Linked DNA regions of Arabidopsis thaliana. The protein of the gene in region 1 interacts with the protein of each later gene in a pairwise test. Each region holds a gene or a part of one and is shown on either strand. Other genes may lie near its edges. The genes, in order: AT1G50670 and HYL1.

Region 1 (4,969 bases):
ACTCTTCACCGGAATCTGCAAATCATCCTCATGTAAACCGAGGAGGAATGAAAGGTTGCATAGAATGGCCTAGAGGTGCACAGAAGAGTAGTTTGAAGTCAAAACTCATTGAAGCACGAATCGAAAGCCAAAAGGTTCAGTTAAAGCATGTCCTTAAACAGAGGATTTAGGAGCCAAACCGTTTTTGGTCACAGCTGAACCAGATCTTAATACCCGGGACACTGCGTGCGGTTCTCTAATCTTTCACCGGTTTCAGATGCTGTATGATGTAATAATGTTCCGGGAAAGCAGTCGGGACCAGCAAGCAGCTTAGATCGGGGTTTAGATTTATGTCATTGGTCATTAGCAATTAAGCAATGTGTACTCTAATATCATTATCTCATTATGGAAGAAAAACCTTTAGTAGAGTAAGAGACGCTAATGTTAGAGACTTGTTCATCAATTTATATAATATAGTTACTAGTTTCCGGCAAACTCACCAAATCGTTTTGTTATGTAATGCTCCAATTTGGATTATTGATATTACAGTTCCTGTTTTGGTTAGACAATCTTGTAACGATGTAAGAAACAACATAGCAAATTGTGGAAAATAAATAAAAGCAATACTATCCACATATTGGAAATTTTTGGTTTTAACACAGAGCAAATGAATCCAAAGAAGTTCATTTTTTTCATGGCATTATTGGTGAGACAACAATGATCCTCCTCATAAAGAGGTCATCACTAGAGTAAAGAACACAACACAAGATAATTGCACAACAGACTGAATTTGTATTGTTGACAACATAAAATTAAAATTAAGCACATCATTTTCGTGGTTTACTTTCTTGTTTCTTGGAACTGTATAAAAGAATCAAATCAATCATTCTCTTATTTGTATTCTTGAAAATTAACATGACCAGTTGCTTGAGCATGTTCCACAGCTTCCTGTTTCAAGTTCAAAATTCAAGCTCTGTCTGATCTATGAAATAATATCAAATGAAGAATTAAGGAGACAAAGCAATGACCTTTTGTCCAATAACTCCAATTTGGCAAACACCGCAACGTAGAGTGAAGTTTGCAGTATCTGTGTAACTCCTTTTCCTGAAACAGATAAACCAAATCACAGGCTTATTCTTGTTTCCTTCAGCCACATTCAACAAAACTATGGTTGACACTTATATATATTACCTTTGTTGGTCCTTCACTAGATTCAAAGCAAGCCCTTCAATTGATCCTATGGATCTATCTTTACCAACTGGATATATAGTCATATCAAAATCTTCCTCGGCCCCTTCAAATGGAGACAGCTGGAATATTGCAGCAATGAAATTATAATTAAGCCACCAGTTTTGGACCTTTGATTACCAAGTTATTTTTTCAATGGAGGATATATCAACTTACAGCAAGAGCATCGTAATGAAGACCGTCATAGATCAGCATAACTCTTTCGTCGTAGTTTCTCGTCTACAAAAGGGAAAAGTCCTGTCTAATACATTCCAAGGTTTTTTCTTCAGAATTTGTATGTTGGAAATGTGATGATTACCTGTCCATACAAGTCACATCGACTAGTTTGAATGTCGTAAGCTGCAATTTCTCGACCATAATAATCTGCTAATATCGAAAGCTCAATCGCACCTACACAAAGCAAAAGAAAACGGAAAGACACTATCAATTCAAAATGATGAACCGTACAAACATTATTAGCCATGAAAAATCATGAACAAGAGACATTTACCAACATATCTCGCCTGATACCTATAACTTAATCAATTATGGAGAATCATGTTTTACAATCTAGGAAAATATACCTCCCCACTTGTCTGGATTGAGAATCCAAGCACAATATTCTTCATTGAGCTTCCCTAGAAATGCTTCATTATATTTCTCCTTGTTGCTTGCAACTGCTGCTGCTATCACCTTATCAAGATAGCACCAAGCTAAATGTCTCAGAATTGTTTCTATTATACTCGTGAAATACTCAATTCATGTAGTAACATTCCTTCTATTCGCTATATTAAAATGGACTATATAGAACGGTATCAGTAACTTCTAAGCTTAAATACCTTATGAAGCTGATAAGCTACGAAGTAAAAGAAGCTAAACGTTGAATGAAGCTGAAGTAACTTCAACAGATCAAAGAATGCTAAAAGATATGAACAAACCTGTCTGAGCTCAGGAGCTTTGTTTTTGTCCTTGTCCATGACATAACTGTAGAAGAGAAACCTCAAAGATAAAGAAACACAAGCCTCAAAAACATTCTTCTTGACTTAAAAAAAAAGCTTATTATTACCCGATTGCATTGAAGAGACAACTGTTATCAGATGGTATAACTCTTCTCACAATGATTCCTTCCATGTTATTATAATCTCAAACTATTTGCATTCCAAAAAAAAAAACTCAATTAATCAAGAATTTGTCCTAATCCCAATCTTAAAAAGATGATGAAGAGTGTTGATCCGATCTAATTCTAAGAATCGATTGGAACCAAATCAGATCCATAAGCAAAAGCATCATCATCAAAACAACAAGAACTATAAAGGATAAATTTTTTGCAAAAGTAAAGTATAAAGATTGATTCTTGAGAATACCCAGATGAAGATGAACACCAAACGCGATGAAAGCAAACAACTTTTGAATATAAAACAAAGTTGGGTTCTTGGTTTTGAAGGAATAGACTAGAGAGAAACAAAATCCAGAAATGGGAAGATAAAACTCAAAATTCCAACCTAAAAGGGAAGATGAAAATTGGATCCACCAAAACCCAATGTGAATGAAAAGGAAAGTTAGATAAGAAGAACTCACCGTTGGGCAAGAGATCTGATTTTTGGAATTCAAAAAAAAAGAACTAAATAAAAATCGTAATTATGTTCAAAAACAAAAAAATGTAATTTTGCGTTGGAACAAAGAAAAATATTATAATCTTTTTTACTTTTTGTTGGATGTTGTTAAATAGAATTTCTCTAAAATAAATTTTCAGTTGATTTTACATTTATTTTTATAAAATTATTCAAATTTATTAAGTTCATAAATAATCTTTAGTAAGTTTTATTTGTGACATTTTTTTTTTCTTTTCATTTTTTACTCTTTTATTCTTGAGAAATTGATAAAAACTAATTGACCAGTTAACAAATACTATTGATAAGATTTTTTGGTTAAGTCTTTCTTCTTATAAGGCCAAAAGCTTCTGAGCTTGTCATGAGTAAACTAGCAATCTTGGTGGTTATGCATTGCGAGTAGCTCACTTTGATAATGGTTATCGAAATCTAAACCAGTAACGAAGCATTGAGAAAATCATTTAGTAAACCAATCTCTAGTTAAGTAAAACAATTTTGTTAATAAAAATTCATGAGGTACAAGTAAAACAAGTTCTAGTTGAAGTAAGAAACTTTTAAAGAAAAATTCCCTAAGGACATTCGATCCTTACACCAAACAGCATAAACCCTCCTTTGTTCTCCTCTGATTTGGTTTCTTTATCTTCTAACATGGAGCTAACCAAGTTTTCTGTTTTCTTTACTTGCACTGAACTGTCATGAACCGTCATACTTACTTCCTCAGCTACCACGGAACCGTTGTCTGAAAAGCAATGAACATCGATCATCAAGAAGTTCTTTCTTTGACCTTCTAATGTCTTCACATTGTTCGGGACATCGCAAGTGTAGAAGGCAATAACATCCTTCTCCTTGAGATTCTTCTCCTTCACGAAACTATTCCATCCTCTGGTGAAGACAAAGCTCTGGCTACTTTTCCAGTAACAATACCTAAACTTCCATTGTCTCATTGCTCTGTCGTAAAACACAACCTCCACATCTTCCACAGATCCTACTATTTCACCCTCTTCTTTCTCGCTTTGATCAGCGCTTATGAAAGGCATATACTTCACTGCATACTTTTTAGGTATCACAAGCCTATTTAGTTTCCCTACATCGCTCGGTGTCAATTCCTTCTGAAAAAGCTGTGTGCAAGAAAAACACTTGTCTGATTCTTGATTCACTTCTCCTCGGGCTTGTTTTGGTCCCCCGATGTTGATACTCGCAACAATCTGAGATCTGATTCTGAGAAAATCTCTGAATTTGTGTTGGTACGAACCGTCTCTGATCATGTTCAACACAGTCTCTGTTGTGTAGCAATTTTGAAAGTCTGGTTCGTTGAGAGTGATTGTAGACCAAGGGAAGTTCCGGTGCGAGTTAGCGTCAAAGCTTCGGAGTTTGATAGATGCACTATCGTAAGCCGTGGCGGCTTCATCAGCGGATTTGAAAGTTCCAAGCCAAATCCTTTTGTGGTCTGCGTAAATCTGGGCACCCCAATGACCGTTCTGTTGCTGAACGACTCCTTTGTACTTGACATTGCCAGAAGCCACAACCGTCTTTGGTGAAGACGAAACCACTAGGGCGTTTTCTGGTTCGTCATCAAGTCTCATGCGTTTCTTGAGAGGCAAGAAAGAGTCGCTTGAACCTGAAGACACTGAAGTCTCCGTCTTTGCGTCGTCGATGTTGTTCATTAGAATTCAAGAAACAGAGTAGTAGAAAGATACGAGAGACAGAGAAAGAGAAGCGAAACAAAACGATGAAGAAATATGAGGAACAGAGAGAGAACTATATAAAGAGAGCAAATCGTGGGAGCAAATTGTGTTTCTTAATCTTGTTGTTTCTTGCGGTGCTTGAGTATTTATCAAGTTATCATTTTCCATTTTCTATTTGTTGTAGTTTCTATAATTTAGCTATGAGAGAAAATTATGGAAAGTATTGAAATTAAAGAATTTCCATGTTTCGTCGGTTCATTAATTACTTGATATATCTGATTGGATAAAAAATGGAAATACGTGAGAGAGCCGCTGGAAAATATCATCAAGTAACTTATTAGGGTTTTATGTTTACCCTAATTTTATCATTCATTAACAAAACGTTTCTCATCTCATGTGGTTGAGTATTTTTTTTATTTCTTCATTATTATTTGTTTTCCAATAAGTCAACTAAAAACAAAAGAAAAA
Region 2 (5,133 bases), about 16 Mb from region 1:
GAACTCTGGATAAGCACAGATTGATATGCAGAACAAGTAACCAACACACTAATCATTAAGAAAACAGCAAGGTGTTATCCTGAATAGAGCCTAGGGACTTCAGATTCTGAAATTCTGTCAAGGGAATGAAATCTATGATTCCGTTCTTACTTTGACATGTGCAATAGCCTCCACTGATGCTTCATGGCTGACTGCAGGAGAAGCTTCCAATTCGCACTCCATGTCACTATCGTCGTCCTGCACAGGCAACTTTCGTTTAAAAAATCTGTAAACTACACCAGCGAGAGACACTCATCGATCCCTAATGCTACCAAGAAGTTTTAGTATCCACTGCCACATAGAACATAAACTAGTATTTCATCACACTCACTTCTAGATGATACTGATAACACAAAGTAGTAGTGAGTTTTTATTGAAGAAAACTAACTAACTCTACAACATAAACTTGAGTCTTTTACAATTCATCAAAAGTGGAAAGAGGAGAGACAGAATAAGTACCAGAGGTAGAGCATCATCTTCCACAGGGAGGAGAGGATGCCGATAAGAAAGATGACGCCATAGCAACTGGTACTCTCTAGCATTAGTAATTCCGGTAGTGGTCTTCTTCACCAACGCATTCCAGTCCATCTTGGTTTCGGAACAATAAGATATCTCCTGTAGCATTCTCAGTATCGTCTCCATATCATATCTGCGTCAATAAATCAAAAACCCCGGCCACACTGACTAAACCCAAATCCACTAACGTTTTCGGAAAGAGAAAACAAAAAAAGGAGATATTTTTACCTCAGCAAAAGAGTGGCGATGTCGCCTTCAGTAATGATTCTCTTCCTGCGATTGCTACTAGTATTATTATTAGCAACCATCTTCGTCGTATTTATTGCAACAATTCTGCAGAGAACAGGACAAAGGAATCAAATTTCACCAAAACCCGAGGGAGTTATAGACGAAACGAAACGACAGAGACTTACGCACGAGGGAATGCCCAAGAAAACCGGTGAAGACGATCGGAGAAGAAGATGGTCACGACTGTCGAAGAGCGTGGAGAGTACTCGCGTGGCAGAGGTGTTTCGGAAGAGAGAAGAAAAAAAAGGAACGAAAAGGAAGGTGGTAAATTCGACTATTATTATTCTACGCTTATCAGAAGCGAAAAGTATGGGCTCAAATATTTTTCTTTTCTGGTAAAGGGATATAGGATCAAGTGGGCTCAAATATGGGCTCAAATATTTTTCTTTTCTGTTAAGGGACATAGGCTCAAGTGGGCTCAAATATGGGCTCAAATTGTTTTTATTTTTTATTAAACGGTTATTATCATTATTGATGTTTACTTGGAGAACAAATTAATTATTTGTGAATACAAAAACTGTGTGAATATAACAAAGGGATTACTAGTGAATAAAGTTAGCCATAAAAAGGTTAATCAATTGTGGATATATACATTAGTTAACTACATATGAAATACGAAATTAGGCTATATGTAATTAGTTTTTTAATTAAATTAAATATTTCAAAGATAAAAACATTTTGCTTTCATATAATATTCACAAGTAAATTATATTTATGGAAAATTTGACCAAAAAGGTAAATTTATGGAATATAATATAATTTATAAAGGTTTGAAATTAAATTCAATATTAACATTTGTAACATAACAATTAAGAACCACCTTCTTTCGTTTGCCCTTGTGAAAAAAAAACAAAAATAAAAATCAGTAAAGAGGAGGAAGTCGAGGGGAGAGGGTTTTTGGTGAAGAAGAATCATCTCTCTCTCTCTGCTTCTTCGCAGCAGCAGCACGTTTCTTTCTTGCTCTTCGCCGTGCCCTACTAACCTATTATTCGTCTCTTCAGCTACATTCTGCTCGTGAAAATGACCTCCACTGATGTTTCCTCTGGTGAATTACTTCTTCTTCTTCTTCTTCTTCTTCACCATCATGTCTGCATTATCTCTAATTCAACATTCATGGGTTGTTTTTTCCGGGTTTTAATTTTGAAACCAGATCATGCTTTTTCCCCTTTCTTCTGTTCTTTACTCACTTCTTTCTTCTTGGAAATTGGATTGCAGTGTTTTGATTAGTTAGAATTTACAAGTGTATCTGTCCCTTGTGGGTTTAAGCGTAGATCTCTCTGGCAATTGGCAAGTTTACTCTTTTGAGATGATGATTTATTGACTCAATTTGTTAGGGAACATAGAAGCTTGGTTTAAAACTGTCTCTCCCCTTTTGGATAAGTATAGTTTCTTTGTGAAAGTCGTCAGCTTTATTCAGAACTCGTTCACTGCTGTTCCCTGTTGTCGTTTTGAGTTTATTTGCAATTTATGCTGTAGTGGATAGCATCATCACTGTTTCTGTTTTATCTTTTGCCTCATTTTGAAGTTTTTTTCCTGCTCAGGTGTTTCCAATTGCTATGTTTTCAAAAGTCGGTTGCAGGAGTATGCTCAGAAGTACAAGCTCCCAACGCCTGTTTATGAGATCGTTAAAGAAGGCCCTTCACACAAATCTTTATTTCAATCGACTGTGATACTGGATGGTGTCAGATATAATTCTTTGCCTGGATTCTTCAATCGTAAGGCTGCAGAGCAATCAGCTGCCGAGGTTGCTCTCCGGGAATTAGCAAAATCCAGTGAGCTAAGCCAATGTGTTTCACAACCTGTTGTAAGCACCTCATCTTTCTTATTTCGCTCGTGATTATTGTTAAGTTCACTGCAAAACTATTGAACCTAGCCTAGGGGTTTAGCAGCGAATTGTAGCTTTGCCATCTCAGCAGTAGTCCTTATGCTTAGTTTGAGCGTTGAAGGTTTAAAGGGAAGCTCATGGTTAGTTTCAGAGTTGAAGGTTTAAAGGGGAGCTGTGAGAATACGTTAGGGGGCATTCTGTATTTGTCTAGGCTCTTGGTTGGACAATGATCGAGATTCAAGAGTTTAAAGAATCCACTCATTAATAAAGTGTCTTCTGTCTTATCGGATTTATGTGTATTGCCAACTTCTAGAGGGAAGATTCTTAGGCTGTTTCTGTAAGTTATTGCTCTTGTCTAACTTTGAATGGCTTATTAATGCAGCACGAAACGGGATTATGCAAGAACCTACTTCAAGAATACGCTCAAAAGATGAATTACGCGATTCCATTGTATCAGTGCCAGAAGGTCGAAACTCTTGGGAGAGTTACACAATTCACATGTACTGTAGAGATTGGAGGCATAAAGTACACAGGAGCTGCAACAAGAACTAAAAAAGATGCTGAGATTAGCGCTGGGAGAACTGCTCTTTTAGCGATCCAGTCAGACACTAAAAACAACCTTGCCAACTACAACACTCAGCTTACTGTACTTCCTTGTGAGAAGAAGACAATACAGGCAGCTATCCCGCTTAAAGAAACCGTCAAGACTCTTAAAGCCAGGAAGGCTCAGTTCAAGAAGAAAGCTCAGAAAGGAAAACGCACAGTAGCTAAAAATCCTGAAGATATTATCATCCCTCCTCAACCTACTGATCATTGTCAAAACGATCAGTCAGAGAAAATTGAGACAACGCCAAATCTGGAACCTTCTTCATGCATGAACGGGTTAAAGGAGGCAGCATTTGGGAGTGTGGAGACAGAGAAAATTGAGACAACGCCAAATCTGGAACCTCCTTCATGCATGAACGGGTTAAAGGAGGCAGCATTTGGGAGTGTGGAGACAGAGAAAATTGAGACAACGCCAAATCTGGAACCTCCTTCATGCATGAACGGGTTAAAGGAGGCAGCATTTGGGAGTGTGGAGACAGAGAAAATTGAGACAACGCCAAATCTGGAACCTTCTTCATGCATGAACGGGTTAAAGGAGGCAGCATTTGGGAGTGTGGAGACAGAGAAAATTGAGACAACGCCAAATCTGGAACCTCCTTCATGCATGAACGGGTTAAAGGAGGCAGCATTTGGGAGTGTGGAGACAGAGAAAATTGAGACAACGCCAAATCTGGAATCTTCTTCATGCATGAGCGGGTTAAAGGAGGCAGCATTTGGGAGTGTGGAGACAGAAGCAAGCCACGCATAACAGTGTCAAGATGGAGTCTTGTGAGTTTGTCATAGTTACTATATGGTTACGTAGCCATTTTGTGATTCCTATCTAGTCTAGTAGTAATTCACAGATTGAAGAGAAGTAATATTTGAGCGGAAAATCAAAACTAATATGATTGGTACAATTTGGTGGTCGATTGAGTCATTCGAATAAAGTAATGTGGGGTTGCAAAACAGAAGCTTCATATCTACATATAAATGAAAATTACTCTCAAACTTCATTATTTGTGGGCCGGTTATAAAAACACAAACCCAACAGAAGGTCCATTACCCTCACTCTTCATTATTTGTGGGCTGGTTCTAAAAAACAAAAGTCCAATAGAAGGTTCATTACCCTCACTCTTGATTATTTGTGGGCTGGTTCTAAAAAACAGAAGCCCAACTTGCTGACCCAACAGGTCCGTTTACGAAACCCTAATCTCAAAACAGAGATATAAATACACTCTGCCTTCCTCATTTCATTTCTTCGGCGATCTAGGGTTTTAGTTGTCGCACGAGGAGGAAAAATGCCAGCGGGTCATGGAGTTCGGGCGAGAACGAGGGATCTGTTCGCGAGGCCATTCAGGAAGAAGGGTTACATTCCACTCTCGACTTACCTGAGAACCTTCAAGGTCGGCGATTACGTCGATGTGAAGGTGAATGGTGCGATCCACAAGGGTATGCCTCACAAGTTCTACCACGGTCGTACTGGTCGTATCTGGAACGTCACTAAACGCGCCGTCGGTGTTGAAGTCAACAAACAGGTCTGATGAACTCTCCTATCTCTTCAGCTTTTGTGTCATTGAATTAGGATTTGAGCTTCTTAGTGTGCTATTTGGATTGTTGATCTATTGCTTTGATGTAGAAATGTGTGATTGAGTATAGGTTTGTGGAATGTAAATCTTCTTCTATGCTACAATTGAGCTCAGATTTTGAGTTTTAGCTCAAAGATGTTATCTTCTATTATGCAGTAGCGTGGTTCGTGATCCTGTTTCAGATTTGAAAGTTGATTGCTTTGGTCTCGTTTAGTCTTTAGCCTTAGCACGCAGTGTTCATATGTTCCCAGTTATTCAATACTTCAACTCGTGTTCATTAAACTGCTAGTGTGT

What was found.
Region 2: the proteins of AT1G50670 (region 1) and HYL1 interact in binary tests that used the Arabidopsis thaliana proteins (3 or more experiments, as listed by UniProt).

What each region holds. Positions count from the first base shown.
Region 1 is NC_003070.9:18,774,216-18,779,184, forward strand, and holds AT1G50670 (OTU-like cysteine protease family protein), read right to left. Parts: upstream 2,798-4,969; 5' UTR 2,571-2,797; intron 2,355-2,570; 5' UTR 2,338-2,354; coding exon 2,273-2,337; intron 2,191-2,272; coding exon 2,145-2,190; intron 1,900-2,144; coding exon 1,791-1,899; intron 1,618-1,790; coding exon 1,526-1,617; intron 1,447-1,525; coding exon 1,384-1,446; intron 1,290-1,383; coding exon 1,171-1,289; intron 1,084-1,170; coding exon 1,008-1,083; intron 928-1,007; coding exon 871-927; 3' UTR 590-870; downstream 1-589. Other genes in the region: AT1G50660 (actin cytoskeleton-regulatory complex pan-like protein), read left to right, coding at 1-170; AT1G50680 (AP2/B3 transcription factor family protein), read right to left, coding at 3,386-4,399. UniProt on the Arabidopsis thaliana protein: Hydrolase that can remove conjugated ubiquitin from proteins in vitro and may therefore play an important regulatory role at the level of protein turnover by preventing degradation.
Region 2 is NC_003070.9:3,136,849-3,141,981, reverse strand, and holds HYL1 (dsRNA-binding domain-like superfamily protein), read left to right. Parts: upstream 1-1,628; 5' UTR 1,629-1,863; coding exon 1,864-1,888; intron 1,889-2,384; coding exon 2,385-2,647; intron 2,648-3,050; coding exon 3,051-4,022; 3' UTR 4,023-4,333; downstream 4,334-5,133. Other genes in the region: AT1G09710 (Homeodomain-like superfamily protein), read right to left, coding at 151-237, 499-688, 784-863; AT1G09690 (Translation protein SH3-like family protein), read left to right, coding at 4,552-4,788. UniProt on the Arabidopsis thaliana protein: Double-stranded RNA-binding protein involved in RNA-mediated post-transcriptional gene silencing (PTGS).